Drosophila melanogaster: one gene and its partner. Changing the gene in region 2 together with the main gene of any one other region gives a genetic interaction. Each region holds a gene or a part of one and is shown on either strand. Other genes may lie near its edges.

Region 1 (7,747 bases), 3.5 Mb from region 2:
CAATTCCATGATGGAGTATGTTATTTTAATTGAATTTATACCCAAAACGCCCATCTACCGGCCCGACTAAGTGCCGTCGTGGAGGAGGAGGGGCGTGGTATCACAGGGTCGCGGGGTTGTCGTAATGGTAATTGTAAAATAAACACTAGCTGCTAACACTTTGCTTTAGGCGTTTACGGATCGTGCTAATCAGCAGAGAGTATAGGTACACTAATCCATAGGACAGGACAGGCGCAGGCACAGCACACACAATGGGCATTAACTAATTTAGTGCACTCGCAGATTGTCATTTTAAGCTAGCTACTATTTCATGTTCGGTTTATAACAAAATTTTGCAAGAACTCTAGGCGGTAAGTTTGATTTCTCGTAACTTTAGGGCGCTCTACTTTTTCTGTTTTTCGTTTAGTTGTAAATTCTTATTTGTTTCCCAAACTAATGCAATACTATTTAATAAATTTCGTGTTAGGAAATTTACAGTGATTTCGAAAATGTGTTTTTCTAACTGCATTCATAGTAAATGAATATTTTTCAACTAAGAATTCAAAGCCCACTTTCGATACCCGAACAAATTCACACATATTCTGTTCATGTAATGTACAAGGTACATATATATTTTGATATATATCATATGGTTACCTAAGTATTTTGTGGTTTCAATAACTTTACAGCACTTTGGGGCATAGACGGTTGATGAACAATAAATACATTTTAATTTACTTTAGGTTTCATTTATGTATTAATGCTTAAATATAATCAAGTCTTTTAACAATGCGCGGGTCTGGCTCTAGGAATATATATATATATATATATGGTTAGTATATATAGCTTAAGGAATGCGATTGGAATGAATCGGTATTAACAATGGTGTTTGTCTTTTTGGGGTAATACTTGGCGATGTGTTAGGAAGTTAGGAGATAGCCATCTAGTGCCCTCCGCTAATGATTTCGGCATTGTTGGAGCCCTCGGACATGGCTAGATTGGACATTTCCAGGTCGCTGTCATTGGCCATGTTCTCGTCGTAGTCGCCTTCGTCTTCCTCGTCCTCATCGTGCTCATAATCATCATCTTCATTGTCTTCATAATCTGGCTCTTCCATAGTTTCCTGCACATCATCGCCAGCATACCCTTCTCCATTTTCATTGTCCTCCTCGCTTTCCGGAGTCTGAAGCTCGGTTTCTGGCTCGAACGGCATTTGAGTTTCGGGAATGACACCTTCCTTATCGTCGGGCTCCATTTTAGCTGCCTCGGAAACTCCACTGACCAGCTCGTTGGCTGTTCTCAGCAGCGCATCTGTTTGTCTGCGCAGCGTCCGCATTACCAACGAGTCCTGCTTCATCTGGAACACGTGCTCCCGCCGTGCGATCTCCTTCTGTTGGAGGAAGAAGTCTTGCAACATCTCCTTCTGTGCCGTGCGCATGGCAGAAGCCAGTTGGCTGAGTTCCTTGGCCAGCAGCTCGTCCTGACGCTTTCTGCGCTGCTTGGTCTCCTCCTCGCTGGACTTCTTTTTGCTCTCCTCGCCAACCGCAGGGTGAGATCGGATATCTTTCGGAGCTGAGCCGTACATATTACTGCTGCGCTGCAGTTTCACCGGCACGGGCATTCCCATCACCGGACTTTGGCCCAATCGACGCTTTCGCGGCTGGAGCTGTTGGTGCTGCACCGGTGTCAGCTGGTGGGAAGACATCATGTGGGCCTGCCTGCTGGTGGAAGCACCTGCTTGCTGACCAGCTATCTGATACTTCGGTGGCGGCCCGCGACCCAAGAGACTGGACATTGTGGACGGCGACTGCGGTGGACTGGACGTGGACTGATCGATGTCGTGAGTCATTCGATCCGGACGCAGCGAGTAGCCCGTGTCCCTCATTGGCACCGTCTTCATACGCATTCCTGTCGACTGGACACTGATATCCCTGGGCAGTCGCAGCCCGGACTGACTGCTATTCGGATTCTGCCTTCTCGGTAACATTAACTTGCTGTGTGGGTGGACAAAGTTTATGCTGCTGGTGCTCTGAAGCGGCACGGACCGGCTCATCTGGCCCGGATTGGGTATCTGCTGCTGTCCCATCTTGGTGAGCGTCGGTGGCGGGCGGTCGATCTGCAGTATGCCGTGGGTGGGTCGTCGCAACTCGCCCTTGGCAAAGGAGGCCACACGCAGGGGAGGTGGTGCCACCGGCGTGGATGAGTAAACGCTGTCATCTTCGGTGTCATCCACAGTTACTGGTGGCGGTGAAGGCGAGGCTGGCGCTGTGGGCGGCGGTGTGTTGGTGGTGTCCATGCCCAGATCCACGTCGGGTTCATGTTTAACGGACACTATAAACGGCAAGTGGGGCACATCCTCCTGGTCGCCGTTGTCGGCATGGGAGCTTCCTGCCTCGTAGTCGAACGACTCCATGTCGGGCTCGGACACCATATCATGTTTTTCGGTCGTCTCATAGCCTGCAAATATAGAATGGTACGTGTTTTCAGTAATGACTCTCTTAACATACTTTCATTTTGACAATCCCACTCACCTATATCAATTGGCTCGGGTTTAATGGGTCCCAGTCGGAAGCCGAATATGGGATGCTCCACTCCGAGAATATCCTCCTTGTTATCATCGCCCGCCGTCTTGGAACTGTCCATCGAATTGCCGCATTCACTAAGGCTGCCGTTGACATTGCTGTTGCCGCCGCCATGATTTGTATCACTTAACATCCGGCAGAGCACGCGGTAAACCTCCTCCGGCACCACCTTGGGCACACCCGTACCATGTCGCGTTGTTGTGTTGTACGTGGACTTGAGGAACTTCCACTTTGTCCAGATCTGAATGCTGGACTTCTTCACGAAGCCCTTGCTGCGCATCACCTCTTCGATCTGCCGGAAGACCTGCTCGCTCTTCATGTTCCGGTCGTTTAGCTGCTCGAGGGCGTTCAGGTTCTGCATGATGCTCAGCATCTCCAGCATTTCGGCCCGGCTCCACAGGTTGCGTTCCGGCCGAGGGCTATAGCCGAGGGAATCGCTCTTCACCGAACTGCCGGCGGAGTAGGGTGGCGACATGTGCGCCTTAATGCGCATGGGCGTCAGCAGTCCGTCGACATCGTCCACCACGCCGTTGCCCGTGGAGGCCGTGTGCAGGAGGTGGTTGATGTCCTGGCCGCTCGCGTTGCTCTGGTTGCTCTGGATGTGACCTTGGCTCTGACGCATGTTGTGCTCCACTTTACTTAGCAGCCGCATCTTCGTGTGAGCGGCCACCGTCGTCGGCGGAGAGGAGGAGCTGTTGGTCGCTCCTGCAGCTCCGTGACTGCCAGACGACGTGGAGCTATCCAAGTAGCGAGGCATTAACATGGATGTGGCTCTCAGGGTGCACCCTTTGATCAAGGTCTTAAATTCCCGATGCTGTTGGAAAACAAGCAAGAAAATATTCCAATATTAGTTTAAAAATTGGTTTTCGAAAACCACGAAATATTGACTTGACAACCGATGTCATAACCAGTTTTGGAAAACTCGAAAATTCAGTTTTTAGACACATTGTCAGTCATATTCATATAGTAGGCATTCTGTGCCCAAAAATGACTACTTCAATCTTGTTTTAGTAATCAAATTTTATTTATACTAAAAGCATGCTACGCGCTTCATTTGAAGGCTATATTACATAAATCACATAGGTATTTTAAACTGCAGAAAAACTTGATTAAATATGATTCGGATTCTAACTTCTCAATCAGCAAATCGACTTCCGTTTGATATGTATACTTCTGCCCACTGGAAATTCACTTGGCAGATGGTTTAAAAAAAAAATGCTGGCTACGAGCCAACGAAAAAATCCAGTTTTGGACTTTTTGTGTCAAAAGTTAGGCAGTCGTGGATTCGGTTAGGTTTCGGTTTTCGTCTTCAGAATCCACCACCAACTCGATATTTACTGGCACATACACATTTGTTTGTGTAAAGTTGACGTGTTTCCAACTGTTTAACACATTCCGAAACCGAAATCGAAATCGAAACCCATCAAAGGTGGCAGCTCACCGACACGCTCGCCGTAGCCAAATAAATGCACGAAAAGAGCTTACAAATCTAAAGCGACGAAACTTATATGTATATATATATATAATTTTTTATCGATTTTGATTATTTCAAAACGAATGACAGCAAAAAGCTAACGTAAAAAACGAACTCTCCCGCACACAGATACACTGCGACAAAGTGGCAAGTGGAACACGCTCAATAACAGAACATATTTGAGATAGTGATTTCCAAATGCAAGTAAACAAGATAGCGTCGAATGCCGAAAACCGAATACAGCGTAGAAATACACATTTAAGAACCGATTACGCATCTTACAATTCGGAGGATGATACGCCGCCAGTACTGAACAACGAGTATGAATGAAAGCGGGCAAGTTACATATAAAGATTCATAGTGGCGGGTTGAAACTAGAATCGAATCTCAAATTTTGAGTATTTTTCCAGCGACGACGACCAAGATTCGCACAGTGGTTGGGGGTTGTTCGAAAAGCAGCTTTCAGAATGACATATCACATGATGTGTGCTCTGCATGGCGGATTCTTCCTTGGCAGCCCCAATTAACAAACTAATTCCGAACTGGCACACTAACCACTGAATTCCCAGATGGAAATGTAATTGCCAACTTAATTTAAATCGCCTGCAGAGCACTGTAATGAAAAAGATACGATAATAAGCCAATAGATGGAGCACGGTGTAGGGGGGGGGGGGTGGTGTGCGGGTTGGCGAGAGCCGAGAGAGTGAACTAAACTCGCTGTCTTGCTCTCGCCACAGCTCGGCTCACCCACACACACACACGGACGGGGACGAACGAATTTACGCTTGTTATGTGCAGTTGAGAATTTTTCAAGAAAAAGAAACAGAACGTAACTTTCCTTCACAGTGACTAACATCCATTATTGACAAGTGATATTTTGTCTGGCATTTTTCGCTAATCGGCTAATGGCAACGGTTGATAACTTAATGCACATGCCTGCCAATTAGTTTCAAATAGTTCGTTCGACTTGAACTATTTATTTATTTCCAAGCAGAGCAACACCTTGCACACAAACACATGCACGCGCTCGCTCACTGCACACACACTTACCAGCGAGAGAGCGGCGAGAGAGTGGAAAATACGACCGTTTTCAAGCGTCAAAACTGAGGCAAACCGTCGCCGTTAACGACGATTTCAATACTAATTTTTAAAACTCGAAAAAGCGACGAACGGGCCTACAAAAACCCAACTATATAAACGGCCACCTGTGCTGGTGTGCGTGTGCGCTACGACGTTATATATTCGTGTTCGTACTTGTATTCGTATTCGTATTCGGAAGGTACAAATAATGGTTATGGTCGCTAGTTGTTTTTGAGATTGCGAGAGATTGCCGGAGAGACAGTTGCCTATTATTTTTTATTTCGCCTTTTCTTCTTTCGCTGCCATTTACGTTTTTATTCCGCTCTTTTTTTAAGAACGGGGTTATTTCGGGGAATATATAAATTTATGGGTTCGCGCGCGTACACACACACACACACACACACACAGCAAATAAAAACTGCAAAAAGCTACAGTTTTAATGTAGTATACACATGTTGAAATCGAGTATAATGATTTTTCAAGTTTTGTTTTCCGCTCGTCTGCCATTCTCCGTGAAGTGAAGAAGACTCTAACGGAAAGTTTCAGACTATCTATAATCTTTAAATTCAATATTGCAGATTAAGTTAAGAGTGTTAGCTCAAAGGTTTGAAACTTTGGAGATTTAAGCCCGTTGGATAACTGAGCTTAGAAACTGAGCAATAGTATTTAAAAATAAAGCGAAACTCACGGCTTAACGGATTTAACTATAGCATTTCAAAGTTCTTGTGGGAGATTACTTTTGGTGCGCACTGTAGTCAGAGCAAAGTGAACGCAGATAATCGCACTCGACTGTAATAACTTGCTTTTTGTGTAATAGCAAAGATATCGAATTACCTTAGGCCTTTGGGTATTCGATTTCAGGTTCTTGTCGACGGGAGACTACTGTAAATTGGATTCTCAGTAGGAAATCGAGCTTCTGCCAAGCTGTGTGGTAAACAAGGTTTTCGTGAATCCTCTTACAGGTGAGAAACTACCCCTTTGCGGCATAAGAACTCCATGTACACCGAGTACATAGGCGACCTGCTGAATACTGGTTCAAAAAATTCGCATTCAGCCGAGCTTCCTTGAAATTTTCGGGGTGGCAGATGCCGAGAATGCGAATAGGTTGTATCTCGTATCGCATCTGAAAGCCATGTGCTGAAGTCAGTCGAAACTAGATTTACAAGTATTGGGCGGACCGAAAAGATGGGTTGCGGGGAAGCTGGAGTTTTCGAACTGGGAGCGATGCCAGAACAGGAAACTTGAAATCGGCTGCAGCTATTCTCTGTGGATGAGCAGCACGACGCTGGGAAATGCGGAAAGCATTTGCATTAATTACGCATGGCACCAGTTCTAGGAAAATCCACACGTTTATCTGAATTTCATGTATGCAAATAAATAAACAAAACGCGAGGCAAACCTTGCAAGCATTGAATCCAAGAGCACAAACACATGCATTTTCTTATCATAACGAACTTTGTAGGGAGCACTCACTTGAAAAAACAAAGAGCCAATTTGGTCTTCGGTTTGTTATATCGATTGCATGAAATACCTTTAAAATATTATATTTTTCTCGTTTCCTGTACGCGCTGTGGTTGTCAAGAAAACTTTTGAACTTACGGATCTGCAATTTCTGCTATCGAATTAATTTTATCGGTTGTATCAAACAGCTGCTTTGTGAAAGCTTTATATTCAAAGATTGTTGTTAATAAAGTTTATTAAAAAAAAAAAAAATTTATCATCTTTTTAATATTTAAAAACGCTGTAAAAGAAAACAGAATACAGTACCCTGTACCTAGTTAACATTACCAGACAGCCATCCCTCACAAAATATAACGAAAATTTTAAACACTGAGTCTCTAAACGAAGTACTTGGTACCGCTATAAATGATAAATATAAAAATTATATGTCACATTAATTGGAAACATAATTTTTAATCAACAACGGTTGGGCGTTTCAAGTTTTTAGATAACGAAAAGCCATCGATTATCGATTACCGCGCAATTATCGTAGCGCAGTGGCCGGTTTTGTGGAGCCCTGGTTGTGGTAAGACGAAAGTTGTGAGAATTGAGATTGGGCATGTCGGAATCTCCGGGAAAACGGCCAAAAATCGGACCCAGCGATTGCCTCTGCTACCTGCAGGTGAATTGAGTACGGCACGGGGACTGAGGTGTAACATATTGTGTTCTTTCTAGGGCCTGGGAGATGTCCGCCCGGAGGATGCCGCACTGCAGCTGGCCCAACGAATACAGACGGAGGAGGATGAGGCGGCGCAGGCGGACACGTGCAGTGGTGCCAATCAAGCCGCCCTGAACATTAGCTTCCGTGTGTACTACCACATAGTGCACAAGTACGAACTACAAGACTCGCACTTCGCGGATCTTTTCCAGCGTTTGACCAGCGAGCAACCCACTGCCTTCCTGATGCTCCAATCCATTCTGCTCACCGACCATTGGAAGCGTCTCGATGCTGCGCTGCTGGAGGAAAAATGCACCACTGCCATAATTGAGGCTCTGCAGCGCAACAATCCCAGCCTGATGGCCGTGCTGAAGGCCACAAACTTGCTGGTAAAGAAGTTCCCCAAGCTGCAACTCCTTCCGCTGAAGTTGGAGCACTTCTATCACTGCCTGCAACGCCAGACGCAAACGGGAT
Region 2 (5,044 bases):
CCGCCGCATATTTACATTTAGCAAAAAGAAACCTGCGCTACAGCTATATATGCTTGCTCACCTTCGACGCGTCGGATTGTCCCTGAACCGCCAAATTCGGAGCCACATCGCATTCAATTCAAATGACAGAATGAGCAGCACCTGTGGCTTAGACACGGACATCGTGTGGATGGACTTGGAGATGACCGGGCTGGACATTGAAAAGGACAAAATCCTCGAGGTGGCCTGCATCATTACGGACCAGGACCTGAACGTGAAGTCGGAGGGACCATGCTTTGCCATCAACCATCCGCAGGAGGTCTACGACTCGATGAACGAGTGGTGCATGAAACATCATTACAATTCAGGTCTTATTGATCGATGCAAGAGCTCGGATGTGAATCTCGAAGAAGCCTCCAATCTAGTGCTATCCTATCTCGAGAAGAACATACCAAAGCGCGCCTGTCCGCTTGGTGGGAACTCCGTCTACACCGACCGACTATTCATTATGAAATTCATGCCATTGGTAGATGCTTACCTGCATTACCGCATCGTCGATGTGTCCACCATCAAGGAACTGGCCAAGCGATGGCATCCCGCAATTCTGGATTCCGCTCCCAAAAAATCTTTCACGCATCGTAGTCTGGACGACATCCGAGAAAGCATCAAAGAGCTTGCGTATTACAAAGCGAACTTATTTAAATAAATTAAAGCAAGAATTTAAAGCACCCTAGGAATTCTTTCAATACCTAATGCTTTATTGGCAATATGAGTCTATAATAATTTTGGATAAAAGTCCGCGTTGTATTGTTAAGCGTGAAGTTAGGCTTATATTATTGACAAATGCATTATGTTAAAAATAGATGTACAATATCGTTTAGTGTATTTTCCGTATATGCACGGAGAAACAGAAATAAAAATACGATAGCAATAAAGAATTCAATGCTAGTAGACGCCGTTGATGTTATTGTGGGTGGCTGAATAATGGTTCGGATCCTGCCTCCTCCGCGATGACCGGTGGTTGGAATTGCCGCCATCGCTGCCCGTCACCTTCTCGGCCTCCATGCGTCCGGATAGAAAGCTGGCCACGCGCTCCTGTCGAATATATTTAATATATATAATCATCTTCCGTCTGACTGCTAGTATCACATCCTTTCTTACCAGGTAGGCATTGGTCAGGCCCTGAAGGCTACCATAGAACGCCAGCATGCGCTTGAAAAGAGATTCAGCTTCCTCTTTGGAGATGGTTTTAACCTTGTCCAGCCGTGAGATTGTGATGATGCGGTGGTTGATATAGATAATATGGTGGGCAACCTCTGTTGTCGTGTGCGCCAGGTTTCTGTAAGGTTTGGTTCGAAGGGGTTCACATGGAAAGATAAGGATGGAGGCGGGATCTACCAACCTGGGTATGTTGGCTGCCACATGAGCACTGAAGTTCACTAGATGAACCACACGCCTAGCCGATTCGCGGGTCAGTAGCACAATCAACTGCTCCAGAGTGGCGGGCCTCGCTTGATTTTCGGGTTCATCTGCACTGAGATAGACCCACAGTTCCTTGGCCTTTTGAACGGCCTGCTTGGGATCGGTGGCAATCTGTGGAATGGGTTTCGTTTAAAAGTGTTATTTGGGTTACGGTTGTACACCAGAATACAAACAGACATTGCGTAATCATTTCGTAAGTAATTTGAATTGGTTACTGTAATCTTATGGTTTTTTTTTTTACCAAATGATACTCAAAAATTAAAGCAAATAGGTTACTGAATTTTACTGACCAATTCTGCGGCATAGAAGAGCACGTGGATCGCCTCCTTGCTCTGCTTTTTGAGGGCGCGAGCCTCTGCGATGGTTCTTTGGGTAAGGCGGCGCTTCAGTTTGCGGGAGAAGCGTTGACCATGATGGATCGCCTTGATGGCGCCCCTCTCGTCCGGCACGGCCTCGTTATCATCCTCCTGTGGGCCTGCAAGGCGGATACTCGGAATAAGTGTCTTATACAATTTTTTTTGAGCATGAGAGAGCAAATTCCGGCCAGAGCTCAGCTTATCGCAACTTTCTCTGGCTTCAGGTTTCAATGAATCCGCCGTTCCCCAGAGATAACCTTCCCGACAACGTGGGCATTTATAAATAAACTATGAGATGAGTGCACCTTAAGGTGATTTGCCTGGATGCTGACTTTTCAAATCACTTGCTTTCGCTTACTTTTTATGTAAAACTTTTGGCAAACTAAACTATCTTTCATATGATTTTGATTATCTCTAGTTATATGGAGAAATATGTAATTTTGCATACTAACTTTTGTGGCCAAACATTCGGTTTAATTGTTGTCGAATCGGCGAAAAGTTATCATTCAGGGCCGAAACCAATTTTTTCACTACAACAATTTTGAATTATAAATAGTTAGTTTAGTAAAAGTGCCAAAATATAAGAACTTCAGTTTAAAATAAAATGAAATGTAATAGATTCCCCAACATGCGTTTGAAGATTAACCCAGATGTGAGATACCAGGACTCACCATCGGTCTGATCCTGATCTGTTTGGATGGGCACCAGGTACTTGTCCACGAACTTATCGCCGACTGTGAAAGCGCCATCAATGCGCTCGGCTGCATAAGTGGTAAGTGGACTCTCGAGGACAGCATTACCGATTTGCTTGACAGAATCGGCGCGTTTCAGAACCGGACGCACCAGGTGATCGGACATGTACTCCTTGGTGTTCCAGTACATCTTCAAGCAGAGAATTATGCCCTTTTGTCAGCGCATGGGGGGGAGTTACTAGCCGACTACTTACCATTTCGGGCGGCAGATAGACCAGTGGTATGCGCTGCTCCAGAATGTCCAGGCTTTTGCACATCACGTTGTCCAGGCGCTGAATGGATGGCTCGAAGAGCTTGACCGCCGGCTGGATGGTTTCGTAGGCGGCCGAAATGGTGGCCTCCGCCGTCTCAAAATACCATGAGAATAGCCTATTGTTGTTCTTCACCTTATCGTAGATGGTCTCCACCCGCTTCACACTGGATTCCACAAGGGGAATGGAGCCGATGCGATCGATGGCCTCCAGATGGAGTCCACTGCCGCTGGTTGCAGTTGCTGGGTTCAAAGATTTAAAGTCGTATTATTAATGGGGGTTGACACTACCAGGCAGCGCGTGTCACTAACCCATTTGTGTTGGGATTTCTCGAGAAGATTCGGTTGAGATGCGAGAACTGTTGCTGTCGCCGGCTCAATTGATACTGGCAGGCCTCCGATCGAGCTGCTACCATATAGACTTGGCACACCAAATCGCCGCTGTCTGATCGCCGATCATGCTCGGAGTCCAAGATGACCTTTGCCAGCAGATAAGGCGTGGATGGAGGCACAAACACCGTTCACCTAGACGCTCCGCCGGACTTATCAGCAAACACGCCATTCGCACTAGTGTGGGACTCCAAAGTTCGAACGTACTATATGGGGACTGCAGCTTAGGAACTCCGTGCATGTGAATCACATTCCAGGAATATCTGTACAGCGATCATAATCGCACCATATATGACCCGATTAGCAGCGGTAATGGCGAAAATTGCTGTGCTAATTCCGCACAAGTGACGAAAAGGTTCAAACTGCAGTCCGTTGAATAATTGCGGGGGCGTTCTTCCTCGGGTTCGATGTGCCCGTTTCTGGGGCTCCAGACTCCATTGCCATTAACCCTAGACTGCAAAAAGCGTGTTTATTCAAATCTATATATAGATATGGAAACATTTTTTTTTATAAATTAAGCTTTATTAATAAATCTCATATCTAATTGTATTAAACGGCAATGTGTATGTAATAGCTCAACTAGTGCTAATTAAAAATTTAAACTTGAGGTTCAAGTAATAATATTTCATTACAAAATGTATGGTTGGGTTAATCTTTTACAGCTCTTTGTTGTCTGAGTACGTGTCATTAAGATTATAGAGTAAGTCTAAAAAGCGTTTTAATAGAAACGATTTTTCTTAGGAATTGTTAAAAGAGTTGATATTATATATTTGTATTAGCTATTGCATACAACGAAGTAGTTATGCTGCATACAGCATAAACTTGAGTCTAGATTATCCAGGAAAAGTCGTAAAAAAATACATATATGTAAATAATATTAATCTCTATTTTTAAGTTCAAAAAGTAACGCTCAATTTGATAAAGAGTGGATTAATAGCTATCAGCCAGTGCTGTGCAGCTAGCTCTTCGTTAAAGCCAGTGTTAGTAAGGTCGCCTTTGCCCATCATTGGTAATTTGTGTTTGTTGCGTGTTTTGCTATTGTTTCTGACTAAAACCGCCTTTGGTTGCTTCCATTTGAAAGTAAATTGTAATAAATATGTTTAGTTGTTAGTTCTGAGGACACCAAACACGCAATGCATTATTACCTGGCTGCTATCTGCCTGGTGGGCTTAATGGGCTCAGGTCAGTGATTCGATTCCCAAGCCACACCCAAGGCTCCAAGTGAATCATGTGAATTGGCCACCCGAAACTAAAGCCCATCCATTTTACAGCCCTCGGTCAGTACAACCTGGTGCAGAAGGACAACTGCATCATTCCAAAGATCCTGCAGGGATCGTGGTTCTCGTGGGAAACGGGCCTGCCCACGCTGACGGTGATCGACGCCACCTCGATGTCCAGCCGAGGCTACTGCATCAACTACATGCGCCACAAGGGCGACGAGTACTCATTTGTCTTCAAGGAGCGATCCAAGGACTGCTATCACTGTGTCAGGACCATCATCCGCACCCTTAATGTGTTCGAAAAGTTTGAGGGGCCCTGCGTGGGCATACCCGCTGGACAGGAACCCACCGTGGACTATGTGTGTCGTGGTGTTAAGGATGACCAGCAGTTGATAACGCTCTTTAACGAGAACTTTGTGCCCATCAACTGCCGATCGTCGCTGGAGGGAGTGTGGCATTTTACGTACCAGGTAAGATCAAAATAGATTCATAGATCACATAATTTGCACATGGTGCGGTTTAGTTAAGGGTCTAGAAACATATCCATTTTATGTTGATTAGTGATCTTGATTTGAACTTTTATTATAGAACCGATTCCGATTCACGGGCGTATGC

Evidence for each region.
Region 1: of Lsd-1 (region 2) and mrt, changing one suppresses a phenotype caused by changing the other (phenotypic suppression), as found in Drosophila melanogaster (one study listed by BioGRID).

Annotation. Positions count from the first base shown.
Region 1 is NT_033777.3:27,276,668-27,284,414, forward strand, and holds mrt (martik), read right to left. Parts: upstream 5,995-7,747; 5' UTR 5,950-5,994; intron 5,181-5,949; exon of another isoform or gene 5,086-5,180; intron 4,364-5,085; exon of another isoform or gene 4,318-4,363; intron 4,045-4,317; exon of another isoform or gene 3,910-4,044; intron 3,763-3,909; exon of another isoform or gene 3,694-3,762; intron 3,376-3,693; 5' UTR 3,325-3,375; coding exon 2,511-3,324; intron 2,437-2,510; coding exon 923-2,436; 3' UTR 582-922; downstream 1-581. Other genes in the region: CG5938 (uncharacterized protein), read left to right, coding at 1-70; CG3368 (uncharacterized protein), read left to right, coding at 7,175-7,237, 7,291-7,747.
Region 2 is NT_033777.3:23,762,404-23,767,447, reverse strand, and holds Lsd-1 (lipid storage droplet-1), read right to left. Parts: upstream 3,211-5,044; 5' UTR 3,136-3,210; coding exon 3,132-3,135; exon of another isoform or gene 3,063-3,131; coding exon 2,764-3,062; intron 2,700-2,763; coding exon 2,489-2,699; intron 2,348-2,488; coding exon 2,270-2,347; intron 1,937-2,269; coding exon 1,752-1,936; intron 1,573-1,751; coding exon 1,382-1,572; intron 1,319-1,381; coding exon 1,141-1,318; intron 1,075-1,140; coding exon 925-1,074; 3' UTR 786-924; downstream 1-785. Other genes in the region: CG10214 (uncharacterized protein), read left to right, coding at 50-685; udt (undicht), read left to right, coding at 4,343-4,391, 4,481-4,899, 5,018-5,044. UniProt on the Drosophila melanogaster protein: Required for normal deposition of neutral lipids in the oocyte.